Linked DNA regions of Canis lupus familiaris. The protein of the gene in region 2 purifies or fractionates together with the protein of the main gene of each other region. This does not show direct contact. Links are inferred from orthologs where the notes say so. Each region holds a gene or a part of one and is shown on either strand. Other genes may lie near its edges. The genes, in order: PKN3, RHOA, MAP3K1, ARHGEF1, C4H1orf198, DAAM1 and GLB1.

The links.
Region 1: the proteins of RHOA (region 2) and PKN3 purify together in Homo sapiens (affinity purification with mass spectrometry; 3 studies listed by BioGRID and IntAct, counting the BioPlex papers as one, with this or other methods). This does not show direct contact. The link is inferred for Canis lupus familiaris from reciprocal best matches to the Homo sapiens genes RHOA and PKN3.
Region 3: the proteins of RHOA (region 2) and MAP3K1 purify together in Homo sapiens (affinity purification with western blotting; 4 studies listed by BioGRID). This does not show direct contact. The link is inferred for Canis lupus familiaris from reciprocal best matches to the Homo sapiens genes RHOA and MAP3K1.
Region 4: the proteins of RHOA (region 2) and ARHGEF1 purify together in Homo sapiens (affinity purification with mass spectrometry; 3 studies listed by BioGRID and IntAct, counting the BioPlex papers as one, with this or other methods). This does not show direct contact. The link is inferred for Canis lupus familiaris from reciprocal best matches to the Homo sapiens genes RHOA and ARHGEF1.
Region 5: the proteins of RHOA (region 2) and C4H1orf198 purify together in Homo sapiens (co-immunoprecipitation; 3 studies listed by BioGRID and IntAct, with this or other methods). This does not show direct contact. The link is inferred for Canis lupus familiaris from reciprocal best matches to the Homo sapiens genes RHOA and C1orf198.
Region 6: the proteins of RHOA (region 2) and DAAM1 purify together in Homo sapiens (co-immunoprecipitation; 6 studies listed by BioGRID and IntAct, counting the BioPlex papers as one, with this or other methods). This does not show direct contact. The link is inferred for Canis lupus familiaris from reciprocal best matches to the Homo sapiens genes RHOA and DAAM1.
Region 7: the proteins of RHOA (region 2) and GLB1 purify together in Homo sapiens (co-immunoprecipitation; 3 studies listed by BioGRID and IntAct, counting the BioPlex papers as one, with this or other methods). This does not show direct contact. The link is inferred for Canis lupus familiaris from reciprocal best matches to the Homo sapiens genes RHOA and GLB1.

What each region holds. Positions count from the first base shown.
Region 1 is NC_049230.1:54,975,313-54,979,949, reverse strand, and holds the start of PKN3 (serine/threonine-protein kinase N3), read left to right. Parts: upstream 1-1,583; 5' UTR 1,584-1,926; coding exon 1,927-1,941; intron 1,942-3,083; coding exon 3,084-3,324; intron 3,325-3,536; coding exon 3,537-3,682; intron 3,683-4,152; coding exon 4,153-4,264; intron 4,265-4,355; coding exon 4,356-4,483; intron 4,484-4,637.
Region 2 is NC_049241.1:40,290,504-40,295,158, forward strand, and holds the end of RHOA (transforming protein RhoA), read left to right. Parts: intron 1-2,214; coding exon 2,215-2,345; intron 2,346-3,387; coding exon 3,388-3,561; 3' UTR 3,562-3,764; downstream 3,765-4,655. UniProt on the Homo sapiens protein: Small GTPase which cycles between an active GTP-bound and an inactive GDP-bound state.
Region 3 is NC_049223.1:43,173,155-43,176,682, reverse strand, and holds part of MAP3K1 (mitogen-activated protein kinase kinase kinase 1), read right to left. Parts: intron 3,488-3,528; coding exon 3,356-3,487; intron 2,495-3,355; coding exon 2,352-2,494; intron 1,624-2,351; coding exon 1,492-1,623; intron 1,088-1,491; exon of another isoform or gene 980-1,087; intron 735-979; exon of another isoform or gene 650-734; intron 276-649; coding exon 126-275; 3' UTR 1-125. UniProt on the Homo sapiens protein: Component of a protein kinase signal transduction cascade. Activates the ERK and JNK kinase pathways by phosphorylation of MAP2K1 and MAP2K4. May phosphorylate the MAPK8/JNK1 kinase.
Region 4 is NC_049222.1:113,143,216-113,147,153, reverse strand, and holds part of ARHGEF1 (rho guanine nucleotide exchange factor 1), read left to right. Parts: intron 1-1,975; exon of another isoform or gene 1,976-2,114; 5' UTR 2,115-2,127; coding exon 2,128-2,157; intron 2,158-2,248; coding exon 2,249-2,332; intron 2,333-2,789; coding exon 2,790-2,903; intron 2,904-3,938. UniProt on the Homo sapiens protein: Seems to play a role in the regulation of RhoA GTPase by guanine nucleotide-binding alpha-12 (GNA12) and alpha-13 (GNA13) subunits. Acts as a GTPase-activating protein (GAP) for GNA12 and GNA13, and as guanine nucleotide exchange factor (GEF) for RhoA GTPase.
Region 5 is NC_049225.1:8,910,595-8,915,286, forward strand, and holds the start of C4H1orf198 (uncharacterized protein C1orf198 homolog), read left to right. Parts: upstream 1-1,668; 5' UTR 1,669-1,699; coding exon 1,700-2,041; intron 2,042-4,692.
Region 6 is NC_049229.1:34,879,347-34,883,284, forward strand, and holds part of DAAM1 (disheveled-associated activator of morphogenesis 1), read left to right. Parts: intron 1-1,158; coding exon 1,159-1,253; intron 1,254-3,525; coding exon 3,526-3,859; intron 3,860-3,938. UniProt on the Homo sapiens protein: Binds to disheveled (Dvl) and Rho, and mediates Wnt-induced Dvl-Rho complex formation. May play a role as a scaffolding protein to recruit Rho-GDP and Rho-GEF, thereby enhancing Rho-GTP formation. Can direct nucleation and elongation of new actin filaments.
Region 7 is NC_049244.1:3,990,181-3,994,118, reverse strand, and holds part of GLB1 (beta-galactosidase precursor), read right to left. Parts: intron 3,652-3,938; coding exon 3,520-3,651; intron 3,333-3,519; exon of another isoform or gene 3,214-3,332; intron 2,375-3,213; coding exon 2,120-2,374; intron 1-2,119.

The DNA.
Region 1 (4,637 bases), on a different chromosome or scaffold from region 2:
GGCAAGCCGCTGCCAGGTCAGTTGGTGCCCACTGGTCGGCTTTCCTGAAATAGTGGTTCTTTCCTACGGTGTGTGTCTTCTGTTTGGGTGGATTCTTGAGGACAAGGGAAGCCCTGGCCGACCCAGAAAGCTCCACTGTGGTTGAGTGGCGGAGCCTGAGATGTTTGGTTTATTCATCCATGGTTTGTAATTTGGGAGGGTTTGGGGGAGGCTTTACTTTCTTTCAGTTGCAGACGTTCTTATAGTAGTGACTCTAGACAGGGACAAGACTCCGTGAGGGTGACGGGTTTGGGATTAACCCACTTGTCACCAAGGATCTAAGACGAGGAGAAGGCTGCGGGCGGGAACCAGGTGGTGGCACGGCTCGGAGGAAGGGGCTGAGCCGGCCCCACGGGCAGTGTCCGGCGGCCGGCAGGCGGCGCTGTCGCCCCCGACCCCTCTGGGCAGCTGGCGAACCCCGGCCCGGGAGGTGTCCCTCCCCGCACTTCTATCCCGGGCCGGGGACTGCGGCCTCAGGACGGACGCGGGGCCCCGGAGCCAGCGGGGCGTCGGCTGGAGCCCTGGGGTCCCGGGCGCAGACCCTGGCGGCCGACAGGCGGCGCTCATCTCGGGGCCCGCGAGCGCCAGCCGGCCTCGGGAGGGGGCGCCCGATCCCGCGGCTCGGGCTCCGCTTCCCGGGAAGTTTCAAGTTTGAAAGTCCTGGCGGAGGGGCCGGGGCTTCCGGAACCGCAGTGGGCGAGAGGAGGGGCCGAGCGGCCGGAGCGGCGCCATGGAGGAGGGGGCGCCGCGGCAGGTGGACGGCGCCCGCGGAGGCCGGGCTGCGGGCGCGGGCCCAGGGCGCCGGGGAGCCTCGTGCACGCCGCGGGCACCCCGAGCCCCGGCCGCGACCCCCAGGTCCGACCCGCATCCCCTCCCGGGTCCCTTCTCAGTCCCGGCCCCGGGCTTCGCTGCACCTCGCAGGGCAGACCTGAGCACGGGGGTGAGTCGTTCATGTCCCCTGAAAACGCCCCCAGATCACCCCCTAGGGACTCAGAGCCTCTGGTCAGGCCAGCAGTCAGGGCCACCAGCATGGGCGCCAAAGTTGCCTAAAATCAGCTCTTCCCGGTAGGACTGGAAGGCCGATGGGAATCGACCTAGAAAGCAAAGGGGGGCGCTGGGGCGCACTGGGGCCGGTCCTGCGTGGAGAGGAATCCGAGTGTGCAGGGAGAAGAGAGCCCAGGAGGGCACCAGTCCCTGGGCTCTTGGGGGGGTGGTCCTACCCGGATCACGAAGGCATGTGGGGTTTGGCCGGGCCGGAGGGCCTTGCCCAGCACCTGGGTGGGAACCTTCGGGTACACAGGGTTCTAGTCCAAATGGCAGGGAGGCTGGGATCCTGCCAGTGCTGGCAGTAGGTGCTGGTGGACACAGCAGCCAAAGCCGTGTGTTTGTTATTGGGGAGGGAGGGGTGGAGGTCTACTCAGAGCGAATGGGGTGGGGTCCCAGCTGTAGAGCAGCAAGGGAGAGGTGTGTATGTCCGCCCAGAGCAGACAGGAGGTGGGGGTATGCTCAAGGGTGGAGTGTCCTCCACAAGGCTCGAGTGCCCCCACCCCAAGGGCCTAGACAGCCCTAAGCACTGCATCTGCCCCCTCCCACTCCCTTCTTCCGGAGGTCCCTCCGCCTGTTCCAGCAGCAGCTTGTGCACATTTTCCGATTTCCTGTGAACCTCCGCCCAGCAGCGCAGCTGGGTGACTCAGGACCCCGGTGGCCAGGCCCCCTGCTCCATGGGATCTTTGTTTGCTCAGGCCTTTGGCTCTGGCCCTCTGGCCTAGGGCCCTCAAAGGATTTCCTGAGCCCCGCCCCTGCCCTCTGACTACCAGGCCAGCAGAGGCCTGGAGTAGGGGGGGGCCCTGAGACTGGGGTGACAACCTTTAACACTGGGCTCAGGAGATGGAGAGCCGAGAGGTAAGGTGGAAGTCCCGCAGGAGCCCTTGGGGTCGGGGGCATTGTGGGTTACTCTGGACAGAGGTCAGCTTTGGCACTGGTTGGTTTGAAATGTTAGCTTCTGAGAAAGAGATTTTTCTGTTTCTTGCTCCCACCTGGGGTGAAATAGTGAGAAAGCCTCTGCTTCCTCCCAGTAGCTGAGCTGGGAATGGCCCCGGGAGACCTCCTCAGCCCCTCTCCGTGTCTCTGCTTGGCTACCTGAGGGAACATCCCTGGCCCCTACTCAGGCCTCTGGCTGCCCTCTCTGTGTGACCTTGGGGGGTTCCCTAGCCTCTTTTCTGGCCTCAAATTTGGCCCCAAATCTCAGAATCGCAGTCTTGGAGAGAGCATCCTGATTAAGCGTGACTGGCAAGGGGGAAGGAAGGTGGCATCCCCTCTTCGGTGTTGTGACTTTGGGCACGTTGCTTAACCTCTCTGTGTCTCAGCTTCCCCATTTGTAAAATGGGGATCATAACTATACCAACCTCATGGGATTGTCGTGAGGATCCACAGACCAGTGTCTGCAAAGTTCTGAGACAGACCCTGAACAACCCAGGGGTCTGGGGCACTGACACACCCCACCTGCCATGAGTTGCAAATCTGCGTATGACTTTTGACTCCCCCAGACCTTAACTACCAGTAGCCTACCGGTGACCAAAAGCCTTACCGATAACATCAACAGTGGACTAACACATACTCTGTACGTTATGTGTATTCTATACTGTGTTCTTACAATAAAAGAAGCTAGAAAAAAGGGAAATGTTATTAAGAACATCATAAGGAAGAGAAAATACATTTACAGCCCTGTACTGTATGATCAAAAACAATTTGCTTATAAGGTGGACCTGTGCAGTTCAAACCCATGTTGTTCAAGAGTTGCCTGTAAATGTTGACAATTTCTCCCTCTCCCTCCTCCCTAGTGGCAGAGGACAGGAGCGTGGGCAGGATGCCTAGTCTTGGGGTTTGCATCTGGCCTGGGGATACTAGCTGGAAAGTCAGAGATGCCTCCCAAGCCCCGGGTGTCCACCCTGGCTGCTGGGCGTGCCTCCCTCTCCTTCCATCTGTGGGCACCTGAGGCCGCTGGTGGCTGGGGACGGGACCATTATTGCTCTGCCCTTCCACAGCCTGGGGCCAACCAGCGGCCCCCGGAGGATGAGAAAGAGGCGATCCGCCGTGCCATCCAGAAGGAGCTGAAAATCAAGGAGGGTGTAGAGAACCTGCGGAGGGTAGCCACAGACCGCCGCCACCTGGGCCATGTGCAGCAGCTCCTGCGCTCCTCCAATCGCCGCCTGGAGCAGCTTCACGGAGAGCTGAGGGCGCTGCATGCACGCATCCTGCTGCCCGGCCCTGGGCCTGGCCAGGCTGGTGAGTGTGGAGTCTGAGCGGACCCTCGGGCCCTCGGGGACAGGAGGTGCTGGGGAGGTCTACCCAGCCAGCTTCTCAACCTTGGTCCTGACCAATCTCATAGCCTTCTCAGGTGTCCCCCTGCCCAGGAGGGGAGGGGAGGAGACAGCAAGGCCATAGAGTAGGGGGCTCCTGGCTCTGGGTAAGGGCTTCATGTACCCCACACTGCACAGAACCTGTGGCCCCGGGACCCCAGCCACCTGCAGAGCAGCCCAGGGCTCGGCACCTGGAGGCTCTCCAGAGACAGCTGCAGGTGGAACTGAAGGTGAAGCAGGGGGCAGAGAATATGACGCATACATATGCCAACGGCACGCCCAAGGTAAGGCTCCCGGGGTCTGTGGGGAGAGATGTGGCTCTCGGATTAGTAGGGGAGGTGCTGCCCCAGCCCCTGTAGGGAATGCAACCTAGCCAACGACCTATTAAGGGAGACATTGTCTCAACTATTAGTCTGATAGAGGAGCCATAGCCCCAAATCTTAGCTTGGTGGGGAAGGCATGGCTTGGACCCCTAATTTAACAGAGAAGGCACAACTCAGTCTAATGGGGAAACCCCAGGCCCTGTTCTGGGTCTAATAGGGAAGGTCCACTCCCAGCCCCAACTCCCAGCATGATGTGGGGAGCTTGGCTCTGACATGATTGGAGAAGTTTGACCCCAGCCCTGTCTCATCTGATGGAGGAGGCTCTGCCCCAGACCTAGGCTGATGAGGGAGGCTTGGCTTCAGCCTTGGTCTGACCAGGGAGGCCCTGGGCTGGCCTGGGTGCGACGAGGGCATACCTCATGACCCCACAGGAGAGGAAGCTCCTGGCAGCTGCCCAGCAGATGCTGCGGGACAGCCAGCTGAAGGTGGCTCTACTGCGAATGAAGATCAGCAGCCTGGAAGCCAGTGGGTCCCCTGAACCAGGTGAGGCTTTGAGAAGCTGGGAGGGGCCGGCCGGCCGGGCCGGGCCGGGCAGAGCAGGGCATGGGCCTCAGAGCTGACTGCCTCCTCCCAGGTCCCGAGCTGCTGGCAGAGGAGCTAAGACATCGGCTGCATATTGAGGCTGCTGTGGCCGAGGGTGCCAAGAACGTGGTGAAGCTACTGGGTGGCCAGCGGACTCAAGACCGGAAGGCCCTGGCCGAGGTCAGACCGTGACGCCCTCTCACCACTGCCCCTCTCTGCGCCCTCCGCACTGCGGGATGGCTGTGCCGGGTGGGAACAGGGAGCCCACTGTGTCTAGACCTCGTGGCGGCCAGGGCGTGTGTGTGTCTCCAGGTGGTCCGAGCTGCTGTCCCCA
Region 2 (4,655 bases):
CTGAGCAGGGAGCCTGACTCAAGGCTCTATCCCAGGACCCTGAAATCATGATCTGAGCTGAAGTCAGATGCTTAACCAACCAAGCTACCCAGGTGCTGACAAGATTTTATTTGTTGACCCCTGATCTAGATGATAAGGATTCCTTCTCCTGGTTTTCTGGAATTCCCAAAGGCCATCATACAACCCCACAGTAAATCCATGCAAGGTGCTATGCCCCAATGTGATCAGATTATTTTAGGGGTAGGAGAGATTATAGGTGATTGACATCACTGAATTTAAGAATAAAGTTTTGGGGCAACTGGCTGGCTCAGTCAGTAAAGCATGATACTCTTGCTCACACTGGGCATGAAGCCTACTTTAAAAAAAAAAAAAAAAAAATGGAGGGGATCCCTGGGTGGCTCAGCGGTTTGGCGCCTGCCTTTGGCCCAGGGCACAATCCTGGAGTCTCGGAATCAAGTCCCACGTCGGGCTCCCAGCATGGAGCCTGCTTCTCCCTCTGCCTCTCTCTCTCTATGTCTATCATAAACAAATAAAATCTTTAAAAAAAAATTATTCATGAAAGGAGGAGGCAACACAGAGGCAATTCATTTTAATTTTTGTGTCCTACACTCCCAAGGGATGGGGGACTATTGGGAGTAATAATTTCATATATTCAAATAATTATTGAGCGCCTATTTATGGAAGAAACTTCTAGATTGAGACAGAAGAGCAAATACAACAGTAAGTCCAAGAAACATAACAGTAGACCTGATAGCAAGAAATTTTACAGATAACATTCTCAGAAGTGGTTATGGGATGGGCCATGGTAGTATTCTGTTTCAGAGGATGACCATATAGGATGGTCAGCAACCTTGCTGAAAAGGTGACTTTTGGGAGAGACCTAAAGGAACTGAGAGAGGCCAAAACAGATACCCAACAAAAAAACCTTTCCAGGTAGGGAGAACAGCAGATGCAAAGTCACCAAGACAGGAAGAAGAAGGAATCTCAGTGTTGTAGCAGATCCCTGCCCAGGGATCCCTCTTTCCATATTCTAAGCAGTTCTTGCCTTTTGTTTTTTTTGTCTTGAAGTCAGAGAATAAACAGTTTACTTCTAAACTACAGCCTCAAATTACAAGCAGACTTTTTTTTTTTTTTAATTCATTCATGAGAGACAACGAGAAAGAGGCAGAGACACAGGCAGAGAGAGAAGCAGGCTCCTTGCAGGGAGCCTAATGTGGGACTGGATCCCGGGACCCCAGGATCACACCCAGCGTTCAACCGCTGAGCCACCCAGGTGTCCCAACAAGAAGACCATTTAAATGATTGTCATAGGGATACCTGGGTGGCGCAGCGGTTTAGCGCCTGCCTTTGGCCCAGGGCGCGATCCTAGAGACCCAGGATCGAATCCCACGTCGGGCTCCAGGTGCATGGAGCCTGCTTCTCCCTCTGCCTGTGTCTCTGCCTCTCTCTCTCTGTGTGTGACTATCATAAATAAATTTAAAAAAAAATTTTTTAAATAAATGATTGTCATATTAAGTACTTTGTATGCATTGATTCAAAATAGCCCTGTGTAAGGTAGGTAATACTGTTAACCTCATTTTGTAAAATCATGCCTGACACTGAGATGCCCAAGCCGTGGTTGTGGGAGGTTGAACCTGGCTACTTACACAACATGATTGATGTACATCCAACCTTTCTAAATTAGTACCATATTGGCAAGAAGTGTTTATCACTCATTTTTTAGAAGTCAGTCGAGCTGTTTGAAATACCGGTAACCTACACGATGGAGGTCATGTTAAAGGTCCATAAGCAAGGTGTAGAGAGAACATGGGGACCCTGGGCCAGCTGCAGCCCTAGAATGGAGACCCTTTCTGTAAGATATGCTCATAGTTACTAGCCAGCAGTGATGGAAATTGTCCATGAATACCTTCCCTCCTTGGGTCAGGTTGCATCATGTGGAGCCACCTTGTATTCTGGATCCTTTGTTCCTCCACAGCTTTAACTGGGCCCCACTTCACAGGAGCTGAGCTCCTTAGTGGGGACTGAGGAGAAGCTGGTGATTTTGTGCTTAATGGCAGGGGGTTAGATTTTGCCTTTTTTCTGTCGTTTTGAAACTAGTGATATTCTATCAAATGTCCAGCATACTTTAAAGTAGTTACCTTGCAGTTTAACTAGGGCTCTTGGACATTCTTCAAGATCAGAATTGTATGTAACAACAAATTTTGCTTCTTTCAGAAAACATCCCAGAAAAATGGACCCCAGAAGTCAAGCACTTCTGTCCCAACGTGCCCATCATCCTGGTTGGGAACAAGAAGGATCTTCGGAATGATGAGCACACAAGGCGGGAGCTAGCCAAGATGAAGCAGGCATGGTCTGGGGCAGGGTTCTGTTTTCCTGTAGCATTCTTAGACTCAGGGCCCAAAATTGGATGTTGAGGGGGCCCAGCAGAAACTCTCACAAGCCAGGTTATTTATTTATTTTTTAATATTTTATTTATTCATGAGAGAGACAGAGACCGAGAGAGGTAGAGACACAGGCAGAGGGAGAAGCAGGCTCCATGCAGGGAGCCTGATGTAGGACTCAATCCTGGGTCTCCAGGATCATGCCCTGGGCTGAAGACGGCGCTAAACCGCTGAGCCACCCGGGCTGCCCAAGCCAGGTTATTTAAAGAGTCCCAGAAGCCTCTCTTTCTCCATTTGTCCCTCATTCCCTGATGCCTGTTCAGAGCGTCCTTAAGATTCCCTACTTATCTGAGATGGGAACCTCTCCTGTGAGATAGCACTATGCCTCCAAGGATTGCCTGGCTGAGACAGCAGTAGTCAGTGCTCCAAATGCCCAAACTTTATCAGGCTCTGGATTTCCCTCTCCAGTTGTTACCCTGCTATAATGTGAGGCCAAGGATTAAATTGGTAGCAACCAAAGGATCAGGAAAGCTTGAGGACAAGGAGTCTAGAGAGAGCCCTGATGCCTTTATAAGTGATGATGAGGGCTTCCCCAGTGCAGGACAAGAGCCTTAATTAAGATATTCAGCCCAGGTTCTTCCACTGAAGTTTCTCTGTTTAAATGTCAAGGTCAGGATTTATTTCCTTCCATAGGCATTCAGTCCTCTCTGAAGCCAACAATTGGAAGACCCAAGTGCTTACTCTGGATTGACAGCTTGAATCATTTGCTCTTGATTTCCTCCTTAACCCGGCAGGGCTTCTCTGGCCTCTCCCTTCTGTCTACTTCTCAGAGAAGAGCCTGTTTGATAGGGATTTTATATTGGGGTAGGGAGGGTAAACTGCATATGAGTTTCATAAGACTCATCTGGGTCTGGCAGCTTTTAAAAGAAGTTTTTTAAGCTGAATTTTGAGTACTTTACACTTCATATATGTGACACTTAACTGAAAGTGCTTTTCTCTTTGCTAGGAGCCGGTGAAACCGGAAGAAGGCAGAGATATGGCAAACAGGATTGGTGCTTTTGGGTACATGGAGTGTTCAGCAAAGACCAAAGATGGAGTGAGGGAGGTTTTTGAAATGGCCACGAGAGCTGCTCTGCAAGCCAGACGTGGGAAGAAAAAATCTGGGTGCCTTGTCTTGTGAAACCCTGCTGCAAGCACAGCCCTCATGCGGTTAATTTTGAAGTGCTGTTTATTAATCTTAGTGTATGATTACTGGCCTTTTTCATTTATCTATAATTTACCTAAGATTACAAATCAAAAGTCATCTTGCTACCAGTATTTAGAAGCCAACCATGATTATTAATGATGTCCAACCCACCTGACCACCGAGGTCCTCCTGACACCGCTCTAACAGCCCTCCTCTGCACTCCCACCTGACACACCAGGCGCTAATTCAAGGAATTTCTTAACTTCTTGCTTCTTTCTAGAAAGAGAAACAGTTGGTAACTTTTGTGAATTAGGCTGTAACTACTTTATAACTAACATGTCCTGCCTGTCATCTGTCAGCTGCAAGGTACTCTGGTGAGTCCCTACTTCAGAGCTTTACTCCTTAACAGATTGTATTGGCATAGCTCTGTGATGGTCATCCAGTTTTTTGAAAATGTGCTTATCCAGAAAGGCTCAAGTCCATGCAGCTGTGGCAGAGTTACAGTTCTGTGGTTTCATGTTAGTTACCTTATAGTTACTGTGTAATTAGTGCCACTTAATGTATGTTACCAAAAAATAAATCTATCTACCCCAGACTAGATGTAGTATTTTTTGTATAATTGGATTTCCTAATACTGATATTTGTCATCCCTGCAGAAAGTGTATTGGTTTTTTTAAAAAAGAAAGTGTATTTGAAAATAAAGTCAGATGGAAAATTCATTTTTAAAATTCCCGTTTTGTCAGTTTCTCTGATAAAAGATGGCCTGTTTCTCCTGTTTTCAACGCCACATATCCCAGTACCCTTCCCCAGAGCTGGGCTAAATAAATAAGAATTTGGTTTCATGCCTGAGACACTCAGACACTTCAAAAGGTGGCATAACCTCTCACCTGGACTGCAGGGTCTGGCTCTAGTTCACAGTGCTCTTTTTCCTCACTGTATCCAGGTTCCCTACCAGAGAAGCCACCAGTTCTCTTGGGTGGCACTCAATTTCTTCTCTCCAGCTGACTAAACTTTTTTTCTGTACCAGTTAATTTTTCCAACTACTAATAGAATAAAGGCAGTTTTCTAAACTTCCTGTATCCTGGTGT
Region 3 (3,528 bases), on a different chromosome or scaffold from region 2:
CCCCACTGGTCTTGTTCATAGCTGTTCAGTGGCATGAAGGCCAGCAGATTATCAGCGTGGTTCCCCACAAAAGTTTTGCTCTCGTTGAGCATCCTGTCTCCATTATAGTTTATTTGTATAATTGGCTACCATGTAGTACGGAAGACCGGATGCTTCAGTAGCTCTCTTGACGGGGGTCTGTCCTGAGGTTGAAGTTCTAAACACCGAAGAGCCACATCTCGTAAACCAGGAGACAAATGTGAGGGGATTGATGGAGCAGTCGTCGCACTTGCAATCTGTAAGAAAAACCACCAGTGTGTTTAAACTTTCCACAATAGGAGCTTCTGATCTAGAAGTACACGTGCATCCTGTACATAGAAGAACTGAAGCTGAAATTGGTGGACTTGCTTCTGACAGGGAGTCTCTGGAAAAACTCACCCACTGGATGGGAGGCTTCCTCTAAGAATCTTCAAATTTTAGGATTTCAGAATTTAATCAAACACTTCCTGAGCAGATGGATCTATGGTTTTCCTTGTCTCAAATGAACATGACTAAGTACATCAAAATGATTAGACAGGTAAAGTATTCACTTCATACTATATGCTCTCCTCATACTCTGCAGTATGATGGTTTGTCATCCTTGCTTCATCATACATGTTCTGTCATTCAGCACAGAGAGCTATTCAAAGCTACTGAGACCACACCTGGCCAGTCCGCTTAGTACATCAGAAACTCAACTGCACTGAATGGGGAAGGTATGGAAGTGTGGGAAGGACTGGGGGAGGTGCTGGGAGGTACTGAGGTACTGGTGCACTGGATTTCGAGTTACTCAGGCCCAGAGATTTTATTCCCATATTAATCCCATGAAGTAGATGCTGTAATTATACATGTTTTATAACCAAGAAAACAGAGGGCAGACGGAGTCATTTCCCGAGTCACATGGCTTTTTAAAGTTTAAAGGCTGGAACCACGGTTTGAAATCAGGTCTGTATCATTCCAGAGCCTGAGCTTTTAACTGGCACATGTCTGGATCAGAAGCTAAAAATCTAAACTACTATACTCTTCTCCACTGGAAATGGACAGAATGGATTTGAGAGTTGTCAGAAAGGTAGGACAGACGGGATTTGGTACCTGACTCGTGTAAATTTTTTAAATACAGAAAATAGTAAATCAGATTTTAAAGATTTGTGGATTGTGTCCATAAAGAGCTCTACATTTTTACATTTGAAAGTTGGATATACTTAGTACATATTTCACCTAAGAACAATGATTCATTATTCGCTAACTCATTGTTCGAAGTGACTTTATAGAGCCTAACTACTTGAAAAATGAGGACTGACTGTACATGCCACCAACATTCATCACACCGTATGAATTCCAAGAGATACATATATGCATATTTATTTCAAGGAGGATACATGCTTTGACATTAGATTGAGAGTTAAGGGGAACCCATGAAAATCTGCCTCCTGCCAATTACAGCAGAAAAAGTAATTTTTATATTATAGTTACCTTAAATATCAAAGCAAGATGATTGGAGTGTTTTTCTGCATTCCAAGGTGGTTTAGCACAAGCCATTTCTATAATAGCACAGCCAACACTCCATACATCACAGCTCCTACCATACTGCTGACCTCTCAGTACCTAAAATAGTTAATTTAGAAATATGACTCATTAACAAAAGAGAAAAATATTCTGTAGTTATGTATTCTAGGTTTTTATTTCAGACCAAAACAATGGTACAGACAGCAACTCCATGGACTACCTTGATGTCTCATTTATTTCATTAACAAGCTTAATCTCCTACGTGGCACAAAAGTACTTTGGAGAATTGTGAGATTCTGAAAAGGAGTCAGATCACAGAATATCCAAGCAGCCCCTGTGTACTTAAGTCACTGTGGGGCCAGAGGACAACCAATTATCACTACGTATAAACATGAAGAGTGTGGAACACAACTGAAGAAGCCTGATTCAGAACAGCAATACTACGTGAAATTTCTTCACTACTGTGAAGACTAGCTTCTGTGTGCTCATCTCCCTTTGGAATAGAGAGAGAGCAATTGTTAAGATTTTTAATTATGTGTACTTTGGGCATACTATAAAACAAGTAGTACAACTACCCCAAAATTCTCTGTTGGCAACGGTCTTATAAGCAAGTCTACTAAAGCCTGCTCTTTTAAAATTTTGTCAAGACAAAGATGGAACGTCAGGGATTAAGAGTCTGAAATCAAGGATATCATTAAAACCTTATTTTAGAGCCATAATCTTCTCATTGGTAAGCGCATACGGAACAACACTGCAACCTAAGTTGCTATAATTCTGTCACATGGAACGCCAGCTACTTTGCCATCACATTCACAGCTGCTTCTTACCTCAGGTGCCATAAATGCAATTGTTCCCAATAACTGTCCCTGAAACTCTCCTGCACCAGTTCCTTTTGATGCCAACCTGGCTGCAGCTCCAAAATCTGCAATTCTCAGTCTCTGACCTGTGCTGTCAATTAGCAAATTGGCACCTGTCAACAAAAAGAGCAAATGACCTTGTATGTTAAAAAGCAAAAGAATAGATTCAAAACTCAGTAAAATACTACTAATGAAATAGGACAGTAACAAAGGAAGTGGGCATGGAAGGGTTCAGAGAAATCTCCCCTCTTGATTCACTTCATTCTTCCTAAAAAGGCACACAGGTATCAACAATGTAAAAATAAAATCCAAATCTTCAGAGGGAAAGATCAAAGTAACAAGGCAAAAGGAGATCAAGGCAGACATTTAATGAAATGTTACTAAGTGTTGAAAACCTTTAATGTTCCCAACAAAAATCTTCCCTCAAAGTTAAAATTTTAGTGGTTTCCATTTTAAGACAGTTCTATTGAAACATACTCACCTAGACCAATTCAAAATAGTATAATTCCTTAATTATAACTCATAAAAGTTAATGTTATAAAATTATTTGAATACTAGTCACACATACATGTCAGAAAACCAGTTATTCTTAATAAGATAAACTGCAAAAGATCTTAAAGGATTTTTCTCAAAAGAAGCTCATGATACCCCAATTATTCTAAATAAAACTAGAAACAGGAACGGTTGGGGAGGCAGTAGTAGATCATGAGACCAAGAAATCAGAAACCTGATTTTTATACTGGTTTGCCATCAATTAGCAGTGAGACTGGAAAAATCAGTCTCTCTGAGGAAGGCAGATTTCATGACTCCAAGGTTCCTTTCACTTCTAATAATTCTAGTATTTTGAGTTACTCAGGAAAAACAATCCGATAGAGTTGATCTTAAGTTAGAAACTGCCAATAAAGGTCCAAGTTGTAAAACTCTCATTTGTTTTCTATTTATTGTTAGTAGGTAGTAATTAAAAGAATTCCTACCTTTGACATCTCTATGAATGATCTGGTTTTCATGGAGATAGGAAAGGCCACGAAGTAACTGTTCAGTATAGTTAATAACTACTGATTCCTTGAAGGCCCCGTATTTACTGAGCAAATGAGCCACAGATCCCCCTAGAAGACAAACATATAATACTAATTATCATAAACTTAAG
Region 4 (3,938 bases), on a different chromosome or scaffold from region 2:
AGGGATTACGAGAATACTAATTGCATGGGTGCTTCTGGTTGTGAGCTTTAAGTGAGTTCATATGTGAGAAGCACTGGGGGCAATGCCTAGCACAATGTGCTAGTTAAGTTTAGCTTTTATAATAAATAATCACTTTGCTATTTTTTTTTTGTGTGTTGGTTTGCAAGTTTATTCACGTGAAGATTTAACAGTGCTCAAATCTTAAATTACCCACACTCAAAGTTGGACAGATACACTGTATGGAAGAGAATAAAAATGTGGTGTGCTCTGGGGAACCCGTGGGATGACACTTGGACACTCCAGAAAGCATCATTGTTTCATGATCGTAATCAAAATTGTAGCCACCATTTATTGAGTGTTAGGGAGGAGGCCTCTGGAGGAGGCAGGAGGGTGAGTCTCCAGTGACCAGGGTTATAAATAGCTTTGGACTGTGGGGGAGCTCCCCCACCCCACTCGTCCACCCCACCCCAACTCCACAGCTCCTTCCCGCCTGACACGGGCTCGAGTGGCATTAGTCAGACTAATTAAGGATACAGAAGATGGTGGTGGGAAGATGCAGGGGGAAGCAGAGACTCTAAGGGAGACAAAATGGGAAAACCAGCAAGAGATGGGAGAGCGAGAGAGATGAGAGACAGCACGTGACACAGTGACTCACAAGGACTCAGAGAGGTGGCCGCAGAACCAGATGTGGGAAGAAGACAGGCAGAGACACCGGCTGAGGGGAAAGATACTTACAGAAGCAGGGTTAGGGCGAGGTGGCTAAGGGGGAGGGGAAGCAGAGATGGTGGGAAAGTGAGACTGGTCTGAAGGGAGGGAGAGGGGGGAGACGGAGAAGAGAGGCAAAGACCTGAAGCATATTCAAGGGACGGCCAGCCAGAGAGCTGGCGGGACAGATGGATACAGGGTGAGGGGGGCAGACACACCTGGGGCTGAGCTAGCTGAGGACTGTCCCTTGCTTTCTGGGATTGGAAGGTGGGGAAGATACCAGGTCCCCGAGGTAACTTAGGGTCTGGGGAAAGGAGGTTCAGATTTTTGTTTTCTTATGTGGAGAAGGTTGGGGGTTGGGGGATTTGCCATTAGATTTCCTGTCACAGGAAGTGGGGCTGGTGGGTTCAGAGGCAACATCCGGCCCCAGGCCTGTCAGGTTAAGGAGAGCCCCCCCACACCCCACTTATCTCCTTTCTACCTTTCCTTTAACCTTCCCATCTCTATTAGCCTCCAGGCCCTGCCTCCCTAGGATCAATCCTACAGTGCCCTCCTCCCTCAGACCCAGGAGTTCAGGCCCCAGCCCCTCCTCCCTCAGACCCAGGGATCCAGGCCCCCAGCCCCCTCCTCCCTCAGACCCAGGGGTCCAGGCCCCCCAGCCCCCTCCTCCCTCAGACCCAGGGATCCAGGCCCCCAGCCCCCTCCTCCCTCAGACCCAGGGGTCCAGGCCCCCCAGCCCCCTCCTCCCTCAGACCCAGGGATCCAGGCCCCCAGCCCCCTCCTCCCTCAGACCCAGGGGTCCAGGCCCCCCAGCCCCCTCCTCCCTCAGACCCAGGGGTCTAGGCCCTCAGCCCCCTCCTCCCTCAGACCCAGGGGTCCAGGCCCCCCAGCCCCCTCTTCCCTTAGACCCAGGGATCCAGGCCCTCAGCCCCCTCCTCCCTCAGACCCAGGGGTCCAGGCCCCCCAGCCCCCTCCTCCCTTAGACCCAGGGATCCAGGCCCTCAGCCCCCTCCTCCCTCAGACCCAGGGGTCTAGGCCCCAGCCCCCTCCTTCTTCAGACCCCCAGTCCAGGACCCCTCCCTCCGCCTTCCTCAGAACCAGGGGTCCAGGCCCCCAGTCCTTCCTCTATTAGGGACCTCAAATTATAGGCTCTCCTGGCCAGAGCTCTCTTATGGACCCAGGCTCCTGGGCCTCCCCCCCCCCCAGGGCTCCCTGTCCTTGGGCTCCCCCGCCCTGACTGGCCTCTGAAGGGCTCTTTGTCGCCACACAGAGGCCCCATTGAGCTGCAGAGGCTGGGATTGGCGGGGAGGCTGTTTACTCACCTTCACACCTGGGCCAGGAATCTGTGAGTAACCTCCCTGTGCCGCAGCCTCCTGCCCCCCCTAACCATCGCCCCTCCTCTTCCCCAGCCCTGTGGAGCCCATGGAAGCAGACAACGTTGCCCGAGGGCTGGTGAGTGGAGAGAGCCTGGGAGGGGGAGGGGACTGGGGGGCTGCGAGGTGGGTTTGCACCCCGAGCTGAAGCCATCTCACCTCTTCCACAGGCACCAGGACCACCGCGGCCTGGCCTGGTGCCAGTCAGCATCATTGGGGCTGAGGACGAGGATTTTGAGAATGAGCTGGAGACGGTGAGGGGGAGATGGGGTGGAAAAGCTTCTGTCCCAGTCTCCCTCGTCCCAGCCCTCAAGTCCCACCCTCAGTGTCCCCTCCCTCCTTAGGTCCATGTTGGATGCTGCCTCCTGCCTCCTCTTACTTCCCCATTCCTCTTTCTGTTATCTGGATACCACCATCCTCATCCCCTACTACTTCATCCTCGATGCCCCATTATGACACAGACTCCCACCCTTGGGTACTCTAACCTCGGTTTTTATCACCACCCTCCTTAATTACAGCACAGATCCCTCCTCTGTCTCCTAATGCCTGTCCTCATCACCCACCATTACCACATTAAATCTCATCCACCTTCCCTAACACCAGCCCTGGCCACCACCATGACCGCATAGACACCTCTGCCAGAAAGGGGAAGGGTCGACCCCCATGTCCGTCCTCTGCTCCCCACTCTCTCATCCCCATCTCCACCCTCAGAACACAGAGGAGCAAAACAGCCAGTTCCAGAGCCTGGAGCAGGTGAAGCGGCGGCCTGCCCACCTCATGGCCCTCTTGCAGCACGTCGCCCTGCAGTTTGAACCAGGACCTCTGGTGAGGGCAGGGCTGGGTGGGCAGAGGGAGGGGTTGGGTTGGGTCAGGTCAGGCCACAGTACTCAGCGACATAGACAATTGAAGACAAGGGAGGGTCCAGAATCAGATCCAGAACACACAGCGCAAGATCTAGAAATGGAGAGCCAGAATGCTAGCCATGTGGCCTCTGACAAGATTGCAGGTTCCCCGCGTACATCTCAGTGAGCAGGGAGTGCAGACGGGAGAGTCCACACGGCAGGGTCAGGCAGAGAGCAACAGAGAATCCAGAAGCTGGCAGAGAACATGCCCCCCACCCCCCTTCCCTGCCTGTGACTGGGTCACCTGTCAATGACAGCGCCTTCTCCCACTGGTCCCGGAAGTGGAATCTCCTCTGTGGCCTCAGCAGCCGCCACCAGTCATTAATTCAGAGCCAGTGCGTGGGAGGAAGCCACTAGCCTTCCCAGGTCTAGGTAGCACGGCAGGCCCTGGCCCAGAAACAAGAAACGCCTGCAAGCAGCCCACAAGGCAGAGCGAACATAACTCATGACCCACAGATAGCAGGCAGAAATTACCTGGGCCACGGCGGGTGCAGGACCGTGCTGTCCGGAAGCACCTGCAGAGTCTAGGGAGCCCAGCAGGTGACTTAGGAAGGAAGAGGCCGCTGCGCGGGCTGGAGTGGGGTGCTCAGTGGACAAGGAGCTCATCCGAAGAAGAACCCAAGAACACCCTACAACTGGTGCATAGCCCAGAGCACTGGCCTGGCACGTAGCCCAGGGATGGCGCTTCCTGCCGTGTCCTCTGCCAGATGTGGCAACAGGCCTGACAAGGGTCAGGGGCTTGGCCGAGGTGACCCCGATGGCCCCCAGCTTTGGAATCTCTCCTGTGGCCCCCTCACCTCATCAGCTAGGAAACCGTTCGCCTCTCGTGGAGTTTTGTCGTGGAGTCTGGGGCTGTGCCGAGGTTTGTTCTAAGTGTTTACAGCAGAGAATTAGAGTCCTGCCCCCACCGGGCTGAGTCCTTAGCACACAGACCATGTCACTTACCTGTCGAAAGAGG
Region 5 (4,692 bases), on a different chromosome or scaffold from region 2:
CTCGTTCCCAGCAGTAAACAAGACAGGTAAGGTACTGTGCATTCAGGTTAGTGTACCGAGCATATACATAAGCATCGATTTAAATAGAGAATAATAATATCAAACTCTTCTCAACCTGGTGGCTTCATAAATTGTCCTTCATACTATGCAACCCAGGCTATTATCTGGTGGCTTTTCCCACTGCTTCAATATATTATGCTGATAACATTATCGAGAGCAGTATCTTTTCTTGTAGATCTTGCCACATTCATGGCATCCCCAAAATATTTTCTTAGGATTTCTGGGCCAGAATATGAAAGGCTATCTCACACGTAAAACAAGTTATTTCTAGGACTGTGTTCCGAATTGTCTGTTACTTTAGAGGCAAAGACCCTAAGTAAAAGCTGAAATGCAAACGTTTTGTTCTAAGAGTGGACATTCTCATCTGAGACCTGTTACAGTGTTGTTCAAAACAGCCTGATAGGAAAGCAAATGAAGGGCTTTGTCCCCACTTTTGTGGTCTGGGACACAGCTCAAGGTGACGAACCTGGCCCCACTATTGTTGGGGTGTGGTTTCTCTGCCTACCAGAACTTTCAGCCCCCCTTGAGTTTGTTTGCAAATAACGAGCTGCTGAGAGTTCTTGTGATTTTTGAGATTCCAAAGCAAATCCTGTCACTTTGTTGGTCTGGGAGGAAGCGCAAGACCACGCGGCGGCTTGGGGAGCCCGCCCCGGTGTGCCCCAGCCCGCCCCGCGGCCCCGCGACTTCATCTCATTCCTCCGTCTCCCCGGGAGGAGCGGGAACGAATCCTCCTCGGACGCGGCCGGCGCTGGCCCAGCTCGTCCCCCGGCCCCGGCTGCCCGGTGCCCAGCCCTCGTCTGTCGCTCGGCGCGCCCCGGCCCCGCCCCGCCCCGCCCCGGCCCGGCCCGGCTGCGCTCCACGAAGGCGGAGGAGACGGGCCATCAGGGAGCGCGGCGGCGGCGGGCGGCGGGCGGCCCGGGCCCGGAACCGGCTGTCCTAGGCGAACCGCACCGACCAAAGTTTCCTTTGTCCCACAAGGGACCACGTGGCTCTACGGTCCCCAGCAGCGACCCCGTCAGACCGCCGGGAGCCGACCCGGGGCGCGGCCGCCCCCCGGGCCGCCCGAGGGGAGCCCTGGAGACCGGGCGGGGCGGGAAAGCCCCAGGGCGCCGAGCACGCGAGAGAGGGGCGTGGCGGCGAGTCTCCGGGGGGGGCAGGCCCGGGAGGGGGCGGGGCCCCGGGAGGGGCGGGGCGGGCCTGGGGGCGGGGCTCCGGGAGGGGCGGGGCTCCCGGGAGGGGTTCCGGGGGCGGGGCTCCGGGAGGGGGCGGGCCCGGGGACGGGGCTCCAGGAGGGGCGGGGCTCCGGGAGGGGGCGGGCCCGGGGACGGGGCTCCGGGGGAGGGGCTCCAGGAGGGGCGGGCCCGGGAGGGGCGGGGCTCCGGGGGAGGGGCTCCAGGAGGGCGCGGTACCCGGGGTGAGGGCCGCGGGGCTCCCGGGGGTGCCGGCGCGAAGGGCGAGCCCCGGGGCCGTGGGGCGCGGGGTTCCCGGGACTAGCGGGCGCGGGGGCGGGGCTGGGGGCGGGAGGGCGCCGCGCCCCGGGGGCGGGGCGGGGGCGGGGGCGGGGCTCCGGGCTGCGGGGGCGGCGCGGGGAGGGGCGCGGCGCGGGGAGGGGCGCGGGGGGAGCGGCGGGCGGCCGGGCATGGCGTCGATGGCGGCGGCTATCGCGGCCTCGCGCTCGGCGGTCATGAGCGGGAACCGGCCTCTGGACGACCGGGAGCGGAAGCGCTTCACCTACTTCTCGTCGCTGAGCCCCATGGCCAGGAAGATCATGCAGGACAAGGAGAAGATCCGCGAGAAGTACGGGCCCGAGTGGGCGCGGCTGCCGCCCGCGCAGCAAGACGAGATCATCGACCGGTGCCTGGTGGGGCCGGGCGCCCCCGCGCCGCGCGGCCCCGGGGACCCGGGGGACTCCGAGGAGCTGGCGCGCTTCCCCGGCCTGCGCGGGCCCACGGGCCAGAAGGTGGTGCGCTTCGGGGACGAGGTGGGTGCGGGCGCGGCCGGGGGCTCTGGGCTCCCCGCGCCCCCAGCGGCCCGGCCGGTGCCCCCGCCCGAGCGCCGCCGCCGCCGCCGCCGCCGCCGCCGCCGCCGCCGCCGCCCGCGGGGTGGGGGCTGCGGAGGGGAAGGCGCGGGATGGAAGTGGCTGGCGGGGGAGGTGCGTCCCGGGGCCGCCGGCGCGGGGCGCGGGGGGGGGCTCCCCGGACGGAGGGGAGAGTCGCGGCGCGGAGGTCTGTCAAGAGCCGGCCCCACAGCGCTCCGCGGGGCCGCGCCGGGCCAGGCAGTTCCCCCGCAGCCGAAGGCGAGGCGGGCCCCGGGAACTGCAAGGGATTTTAAGCCAGCCAAGCCGGAGTTCCAATCCACTCTGCTCCTTAGCTCTATGGCCATCGGTGACTTTTTTTTTCTTAAAGATTTTGTTTATTTATTCATGAGAGAGAGAGAGAGAGAGGCAGACACAGGCAGAGGGAGAAGCAGGCTCCCCGCGGGGAGCTGATGCGGGACTCGATCCCGGACCCCGGGGGTCACGCCCCGAGCCCAAGGCAGACGCTCCACCGTGACTTAACCTCAGCTTCTCTCCCCGCCCCTCCCCCGTCCTGGTGTAAACTGGCCCCCTGCCTGTCAGGGAAGGCAGTCAGGAAATTACATATGTTAATCATAGTATTTGTGATGAGTTGTATGGGGCGAGTGAAGTTGTCAAGCAAGGTAAAGAGAAGGGAGAGGTGCCTTCCCGGGTTAGGAGGCCAAACGTAAGAGGTTTTCCAGGTGAGCACGATGTGATGTGCTCACCTGGTGTGGAGGTGAGCATGGAGACCTGTTGTTCTATCAAAACACGAAGGGGTGAGCTTAAATGGGCGCCACCAAGCCTTTGCCACATATAAGGACATCCCTGGGTCTCTGGTCTAGACGCCGAGCCCACACTTCTAGAGGAGAGAAAAGCTAGAGCTATACAAGAAAAAACTCTGGGATGCCCTCTTCTAAGTCACAAAGGACTGAGTGTTCACTGCTGCTCAGAAACTTGATCTTTTTCTTTCTGTTTTTTTGTTTCCCTAAAACCCATTTGGTGCCATTAGAATCTGGCCTTTCACGCTAAACTTTTACCATGAAGGGCAACCTGGAAAGGAGCAAGAAGTATAAAAATGAAGTAGACCCATGAAACCCACACTCTGAAGGCTGGGAGCCTGCAGGAGGGGAGCTGGAGCTTGGCGATGTTTCCCCAGGGCGTTGTGGATTGTGAAAGGGATTCTAGTTAATTCTGAATTTTAAAGCTAATTTTCAGGCTTGGGTGTGTTGAGACATTTATCAATACAAAATGTTTGTGGTCGTAAACCCACTTAAATATAATGGGTGTGTGAAGGAGAGAAGTATGCTGCCAGCATTGCCTTATTCTGACAGAACTCAAAGAAAAGTCTCCACTCCATTGGACTTGAAACTCTGAAGGCTTTGCCAGGAAAAACAAGGGTGTGGTAAGCCGGAGGGATGAAAATATAGGTTCAGAATGTATTTAAGAGCCCAAACATTTTCAGTGTGAAAAATCCATATCTGTATAAAGACATTTGCAGTGTTTGTGCTCAGATTTGGGGATGAAAAAGCAAGCGGCCCCTCTTTGGAAAAGTCATGAGTAAATAAATAGGAGAGGAAGTAAACCTGTAAGTACTTACAGATGTTGGAGAGTGACTGTCATTTTTCCTTAGCTTGTGTCCAGCTAAGAATATCCACATGCCTGCTCAGCATCAAAAAGCTCTTGCCATATAAGGGCTCAGTATCACTGATAAGGAAAGATGTGGCCAAGTGAATTTTGTACTCAAATTCCGTAACTGGGTGCCAGACTGAGCTGTTTCTGAATTTGTAAACCCAGTGTGATTTAAAAGCAAATGGAACTCCTCACTGTGGTAACGGCATGCCCTTCCAGGAGCCAACCCTCCTGTTTTTTGGACTCCAACTCAGTTTTACAAAACGCCCGAGAGGGTGCCCTGGAATGCCTCTGACCAACTTGAGCAGAGATGGTGGACAGCTACGGGGCGGCTGAATTTCAGGAGAGGTACTTAGGAACGTTGCCTGGGGTCTGTTTTTGCTTACAGTGGCCGTGTGCATTAATGGCGCTAGGGAGGGTTTTTTTGTTTTGTTTTTTAAAGATTTTATTTATTCATGAGAGACACACAGAGAGAAGCAGAGACATAGGCAGGGGGAAAAGCAGGCTATCTGCGGATAGCCTGATGCAGGACTCGATCCCAGGACCTCGGGATCTCCACCTGAGCCAAAGGCAGATGCTCAACCACTGAGCCACCCAGGTGCCCCAGCACTAGGGAGTTTAAAACGCATTTCCCCAAACCTGGCAAGAGGTTGACACCAGCATAGTTGGTTGTGTCATGCCCAGCGCTGTTCATGGAGGATGGCTGGCTCCTGGACACAGGAGGCGATGGATAAGGGGAGGACTGGTCTACCCGGCTACGCTGCTGGACAAAGAGGCCCAGATAGGTGACTCAGGTTTGTCCAAAAGGGCCCTAAACCAGATTGAGTAGGGCACCCTATCCCTTTCCACTTGATCTGGCTCCTGATGTCCCAGGTCCTCCAAAGCCTTGTGGAAGAGAGAATGTTCCCCCCCCCCCCCCCGGGGCCCTCCAGCTGGACCCCCTCCCC
Region 6 (3,938 bases), on a different chromosome or scaffold from region 2:
ATTAACTTGAAAAAATTAGATAAAATCACCCTTTGATGACTTGTGGCCCTGAAAGGAAGTGAGAGATTGGATCATTGAGACACATAGATAAGAGCCAAACTTTCTTTTTCCCCTTCAATGCCCTAGTCTGTTTCCCAGCCATGCATTTTTATCAGAATTGTTAACAGGTAAGAAGGCTGAAATTAGAAAAGCACACATTCAGAATAAGATGAAGGCAAGAGACCAGTGGTTCCATGGGTGGAGGCACCTGAGGCCATTAAGACTTAAGGATCCTTTTAATCCAACTAGGTGATCTTGGGCTCAAAGGAATGGGAAAGATCTTTTCACAAATATAAACTTTACTAGCATCCAGGACTGTACTGTCAACTGAGATCTACTTCCTTAGAGCCTTGTTCTTCAAATTGAGGTCTATAGACCTGCAGCATCAGGGCTGCATGGAAACTAGAAATGCAGCATCTTGGGCTTTACTCAGGACCTACCAAATCAGAACTCTTATTTTAACAAGATCCCCAGCTTATTCGTGTCCATATTAAAGTTTGGGAAGTGCTGCTCAACAGATCCCTGGGTGGGGAGGGTGTAAGCACCCCACTCCCTCCCTCACACACACTCTGTAGCCTAATTTCCAAATGATGTTGAATCATTTCTAAAAGTGTTTACTCTGAAGGAATTGTCCTTCTTCGTATCATGTCCGATTTGATTGTTCCTCTTAAGTAATTGATGGAACAAAAAGTGTAAAAGATTCTACTTTTCGGCTTGAGGATGACACAAACCGCCTGGATTTGATAGTGTTGTTAATGTTATTAGCTTTAGTTGCCAGAATACTGTATTTAACTGCAGAGCCAATCCTCTTTCTATCAAATATAGATAGTAATATTTTCACCAGAACTATAGTTGGACAAGTTAATCTCTACTGAAAATTTCTAAACATTTCTTAAAACTTTATCTAAAATTTGAAAGAACTTTTAGTAGAGATTACAAATCTGGAATTCTTAGTACTTTTGCTCTGTATTTTGGTTTTATAGTAATCCTAGTCATAGATTTATTGTTTTTTTTATATATATTAAAAGTAATAATAGCATGTAATCTGTGGACTTGTCTTGCTTATACCCTAATTGAATCATAGAATTTGAAGAGGTAACTTCAGTTTTCTTTGCGTAGAGAAAATCTCTCCTGGCTTTAGAGAAGGAAGAGGAAGAAGAGAGAAGTAAAACTATAGAGAGTTTGAAGACAGCACTAAGGACAAAACCAATGAGGTAATTCTTTCTTGGGTAACATACTACTTGTCTTTTTTTCCTTCTTCTTCTGTCCTTTCTTTCTCCCTTCTCTCTTACCCTACTTTCTTCTTTTTTTCTGCAATAGGAATTCTTAGATTAAAAGCATTCAACTGAACCATGGATGGAATACTTTTAATCATTGAACATTCAATAAATTGATTTTCTTCAATTAAAAGATATGCACACAGCTGTTAAGATGGCTAAAATTAAAAAAAAAAACAGACTAGAAAGTTTTGGTGCTGATGTAGAGAAATTGCAACCCTCATACATTGCTGGAAATAATGTAAAGTGGTGCAGCCACTTCAGGAAACAGTTGGACAGTTTCCTTAGAATGTTGAACATAATGTTGGCATATCACCTGACAATTCTACTCATTGGTATATAGCCAAGGTAACAGGAATGTTCATGTTAACAGTGTCCATAATGGCTGAAAAGTAGAAACAACCCAAATTCTGTCAGCTGATGAAGGGATCAACAGAATGTGATATATCCATACAATGAATTATTATTCAGCCCTAAAAAGGAATAGACTGTTGATAAATGCTGCAACATGGAAGAGCCTGAAAAATACTTATGCAAAGTGAAAGAAGCCAGATTTTAATGTTTAAAGAAAGACAACATATGGCATGATTCCATTTATATGAAATATCCAGAGAAGGCCACTCTGTACAGACAGAAAGATTAGTGGTTGCTTATGGTTGGGGAGAGGAGGGAAATAGTCTTTTGGGATGTTTTAGAGTGTTCTGAAATCAGATGCTGTCCGTGGTTGCCCAGCTCTGTGGATATCACTGAAATGTACATTTGAAAGTATGAATTTCATGGCATGTGAATTATATCTCAATAAAACTGTTCCTAAAAAAGGGGGGGGTGCAGTCAGCCTCCACCATGTGTCTCCTATACCTTCATTTCCCATTGATTAGTCTTCAAGGTTTGGTGGGATGTTGGGGTGCTTATACGTATATTTCATTAACATAGGAGCTATGAATGAAGCCAACTGTTTCCACCAGTGGGGCTATATCTGGGTCCTGTGACTACATGAAATGGCTGGAAAATAAAGATTTCCTTTTCTTTATTTGACTATAAGATGCTAACTAAGAAAAATCTATTGATTTATCAAAATTTCTATGCAGTTGTATGACAGGTTTTGTAGCCAATCCTAACTACATCAGTATTTCCCTATTTGTGTTGTTTTGCATTCTCAGATGTTGATAGGTATCTAAGACTAAGTAGGTTTGGAAATTTCTGGAATAGTCATATAAACAAGTTCTGTTACTTCTGAAATTTTCAGAGCTTCACGTATATTTGTGCATTGTGAATTATTCTCATTGGTCAGCTTCACAGTAAATAAAGTGTCCTAGATATCAATTAACGTGCAGTAACAAAGGCTTGCTTTTGTTTTGTTTTAGCAGTTTATTATTTAGTTTTTTAAGTACACTTCAGGCCCATCATGAGGCTTAAAATCAAGAGTCATGTTCTCTATGGACTAATCCAGCCAGGCACCCTTTATTTGTTTTATATATAGGGATTCCAGTAGCATATCATACAAAAGAAGAGTTTTGCTACAAAATGTTAGCAATATAGATTATCATTTGTTTGACAGACAAATATCCTGGAGCTTAAGGATGCTCTTTGACTTGCATTGATATGGGTCAACAGTTAATGTAAAGGTGATTAGAGGCTGGTGTTAAAATGACACAGGATCAGCAGATAACCTTTTTTTTTTTTTTTAATTTAAAGATTTTATTTTTTGAGAGAGAGCATGAGCAGGAGGGAAGTCGTTGGGAGAGGCAGAGGGAGAAGGAGAAGCAGACTCCCCACTGAGCAGAGAGCCTGACATAGAGTTGGATACCAGGACCCAGAGATGATGACCTGAACTGAAGGCAGATGCTTAAGTGACTGAGCTACCCAGGTGCCCCTGAATCAGCAGATGACTTTAACTTAAGACACATATTCTGAGTGTGTTCTGGTTCCTGATTTACTGTGGCTGTATAATTGTTCATTGGTTCTTTGTATCAGTTGAGATCTGTTTATTTCAAATAGAGATTATTTCACATTTCTGGTAGACCTGACCATTGGGTTTGTGCTGAGGAAGAGGTCAGGAATTAAGAAGACTTCATCAATGTAGCTCTTTGGTACTACAAGAACTACATACCTCTTCCTTTCTCCTGCCATTGCAAAACTTTTCCAAGGGCTATTAGAAAATTCCAAAGGGACCTAAGTCTGATACATTTTAATGTTCTTCTCCTGCCAGGTTTGTAACCAGATTCATCGACTTGGATGGCCTGTCATGTATTCTCAACTTTCTAAAGACCATGGACTACGAGACCTCAGAGTCTCGAATACATACCTCTCTCATTGGATGTATAAAGGCACTAATGAACAACTCTCAAGGTCGGGCTCATGTCCTGGCTCACTCTGAGAGTATTAATGTGATTGCTCAGAGTCTGAGCACAGAGAACATTAAAACAAAGGTGGCCGTGCTGGAAATCTTGGGCGCCGTGTGCCTGGTTCCCGGGGGCCACAAGAAGGTTCTGCAGGCCATGCTGCACTACCAGAAGTATGCTAGCGAAAGAACCCGCTTTCAGGTGGGCATGCTCCCTTGCCACTTTGTCATTCACCCCTTCCAACAGGTGTTTTCCTGAAGGGGGAACATAACTTAAGGTT
Region 7 (3,938 bases), on a different chromosome or scaffold from region 2:
GACATGAGCCAAAGTCAAGATTCAGATGCTTAACTGACTGAACCACCCAGGCACCCCCAAAAGGGCACTTCTTAAGCAAATGTGTGCATCTTTTATCCTCTACTCTTCCAGCTATTTACCTGCTTTTCTCCTCTTCTTCAGAGTCAAAATTCTCAAAATGAATGTTTATATTCAGGTATTCAAATTTATGTTCACAAGTTTGTTTCTTTACCTTATACTCCTTGGGAGTATATAGTACAGCCTATGGATGCTTTGCTCCACTGGCATATACTTCCTGAGGGTCCCAGTGAGCTCCTTGTTACGAAATCCAGTAGAAGAGCTTCTGTCTTTCTCACATTCATCCCCTCAGCAGTACAAATGTCGGTTTTCCTTCTCACTCTCTGCCCACCATGTTTGTACCCCTTTTCTTTTTTTTCTGTATCCTTTCTCTTCAGAGGATCTCCTCCAACCCATGTCTTCAGTGACCATCCATACACAGATGATCTTATACATATATTCCCAGCTCAGATCCATCCTCTGGCTTCTCCCTCCACAGATATCACAGCCCTCTTCCAATATCTTCTCTCAGCTATTCTCAAAGGCCTCTCAAACTCAATCTATCCAAATCCAACTCACAATCTCCCCCCTCCTAGCACATGTCTTTTTCTGACATTTCTTCTTTCAATAAATGGTACCATCTTCTCAGCCACCAAGCTGGAATGTAAGAGTCATCCAGGATATGTCCTTCTCTTTAAATCCTGATATCCAATCCATCATTACAACTCACTGATTTAACTTCACACATCTCTTAGATAGTTGATATTATCTCCATCTTGTCTACCACCATCCTAGTCTCACACTGAGACTATGGTCCAGCTGCCTAGATAGCTTCCCAAAATCCACAGGTACTCTCACCCAACCCTATTCTGCACCCTGGTATCAGAGAAGCTTGTCCCATCACAATCACATCATGGCACTCTCCCGCTTCAAAGGCTCTCAACACAAAGACAAAACTTTAATGTAGTTTAATTGGCCTAGTCCAATCTCATCTCTACCAACTTTCTAGTCTCTTCTCTGAACCACACTCCACACCTAAACCCTATGTTTGGGTCCTTTACCAGTTCCTCATGCTCCTCATTCCCCCTCTAACCACATGGCCTTTGCACATGCTATCTTCTTTGCTTGGAACATGTTTCCCTTCCCCTTTTGCCATGTTAATTCCTTTTTTTTTTGTTAATTCTTTCTTATCCTTCATATCTTTGTCAAGCATGACTCTCACAGGGAAGGCTTCCCTGATCTCCCTGACAAGGTCAAATGCCCCAATTATTATCAACTCCTGTATTTCTTCTTAGCACGTATTGCAGCTGCAGTCTTGTCATTTAATTTGGGTGATTGTATGATATGGGTCTGTCTCCCCAACTAGTGTGTAAGTTCCATGAGGGCAAGTCCCATAGCTGGTTTGGTTCATCGTTGTATCCTTAGCACCCAGCACAAAGCTTGGGTACATAGTGGCCACTGAAAAATACTTGTTGAATGAATAACTGAGTCATGGTAAGGTCACCCTGGATGAAAATAGGACTGAAGTGAAGAAGACAACGGTGAAGGAAGACATGTGAACACCTTCAAAGAATAAAGGGAGGGAGGTGACCAGGCTGTAAAATGGCCAAGGAAGAGCTGAAGATCATGGAGACAGTGGTGGATGCCCCCAGGGTGCAGGGCTGTATGAAGGTGGGGTGTTGTGGAGTGTAGGGGGAGGCATGGACAAAAGAAAAATAAGTTCTCCCAGTGATTCATCCCTTTGCTTGGACCAAATTTTCTTCAAGATAAAGAGAAAGTGTCCCTCATAATCAGTGTCCAAAGGAGCTATGGTTTTTCTTAAAGGAAGGAGGAAAGTCATCATTTTCTCAAGGAAGTTGTCAGTCAGTGAAAATGGGGCAGATGCTATACATTCAAGCTGGCCATTGCATTCCTGAAGATCTGCCATGGTTCCACTACTGAGGAATGGGTAAACTAACACAGAAAGCCCCCACTCCCAAACTGTTACACAACATCTCATTAGCAGTTCTTTTTTATTCTTTATCAGAAGCTAAAAGCAGATGTTTGAGGCCTGAATTAAAACACTTTCCATGAAGACACGTACCTTGGTCCATCCAGGAAACTGGATAAAGGTGTCCTGGGGCAAGTCTGGGATCCCACTGGGAATAGAGAAGTTCCCCATATAAAAGGCCGGGAGCGTGTAGTTAGACGAGCGGTGGGCAAAGGTTTTATCATGGCGGCCATTGTTAGGGCCATGCCAGCCTCCCAGGTGGCTGCGTACTGCATCCTCAGTGTTCAACGGGAAGATCATCCAGTTTGTGAGGATACTGGACCCAAGGGTCAGGTTAGAAATAAGGCCCTGTAAAGGAGAAACTGAGCAATGAGCTAGGGTGGGAAGTAAAAGGCTTCAAGTGTCTTTGTGTCCCTACGCTGAATTCTTGAGAAGAGCAAACCAGGACATGAAACACCAAGAGTAAATGAGACTCAAATTGTGTGTGTACAATTTGAGTCTCATTTTTGAGCCTGAGGCCAGAGCTTTTGACCCCATGCCCCCAATCTTCAGTGTTCGGTTCAGAGTCATTGCTGGATGGAAGGAATGAGTGGATTCAGGAATACAGAAGAACATTTAGCCACTGTAGGAAGGGCTGGGGGGACAGACTCTGCCCCTTCATATAACCAGGAGCATGGCCATTCCATTGGAGTGTGATTGCCCTGCCTCTGAGTGGCACCAAGAGGGTCAGGAAATAACCCCACACATGGGTTTTGTCCTAGAGAGGGGGGTACCATCAATCTTTCCATGTGGGGGCCTTCTCTCCTCTAGGTGGTGAGCTACATGGGAGAAGCCTGTACCTCAACATCTTTCCATGCCTCAAAGTGCCTTGCAGAGCATCTTGCAGAGTATGACCTTACCAAACATTTGCTGAATAATGCTCTAAAAATGTTTTCCTCAGGCAAACATTTGGGCTGGGGCTAGACACCTGGACACAGGGTAACCAGAAGGGGTAAGAGAGACCGTGTACCAAGCGAAAAGCCTATTATTCAAGACTTCGTCCTGGATTGTCCACATCCAGAAAACAGAGCCAATCAAATACTAAGCTGGCTTTGTCAGCAACAGGGTACCTTTTGAAAGCTAGGTGGGTCTTTAAAGCAAGGGAGAAGCAGGGTGCAGTAGCTTCCTCCTTCTGTTTCTTTCTACAGGGTGACTGAACCTGAACACAAGAGAAGGGTTCTCTTTGCAAAGCACAACTTTCTCATCACCTGCAGAGGAAAACAGGTCTTCAAAATAGCCCAACTTTGAAGTTGCAAAACAAATCACAGTAGGTTTACCCGCCAAACTTGGCAAAGTGTGCATGCTTTTAAAAATCGCTTCTATGTGAACAGGGCTGGAGGAGAAGAATGTATATATGAGAGTTTTTAAATGGGTTTGCAGAAACTTCCTTAGGTGGCACAGGCACGGCCCCATCAACCTTTGAACCTCACTCCTGACAGTGGGGCTGGTCCTACCTTAAAATCATTGATATATCTGCCATAGTTCACACGTCCCATGTTCTCCACCAGCAGGTCCAGAGTGGCTCCAGCCTTCCCGGTTATGTTCAGAGTGATGACATTACTTCGCTCCATGACTCCCTGGGGCACCTGTGGGGTTAGAGACCAGTGGGAATTAACTGGTGTGAGAAATGCAGCAGAACCCAGCTCCCTCAGCTGTCACACTCATTTTGCTGTCTTGAAGTGTCACTGGACTCCAGAGGCAATGCTCTGAAAGCCCCTTTGCCCAAATCACCAGCCAGGTGATCAAGTTCCTCTAAACACTGCTTCCTAAGCAGGCGACTCACCAGCTACGGCTCAGAACAAGGGAAGATCTAGGCTGGCTTCCTCTGCTTTGGGATGTTTTGCTGCACATCCATTTTTAATAGGAAAGGAAT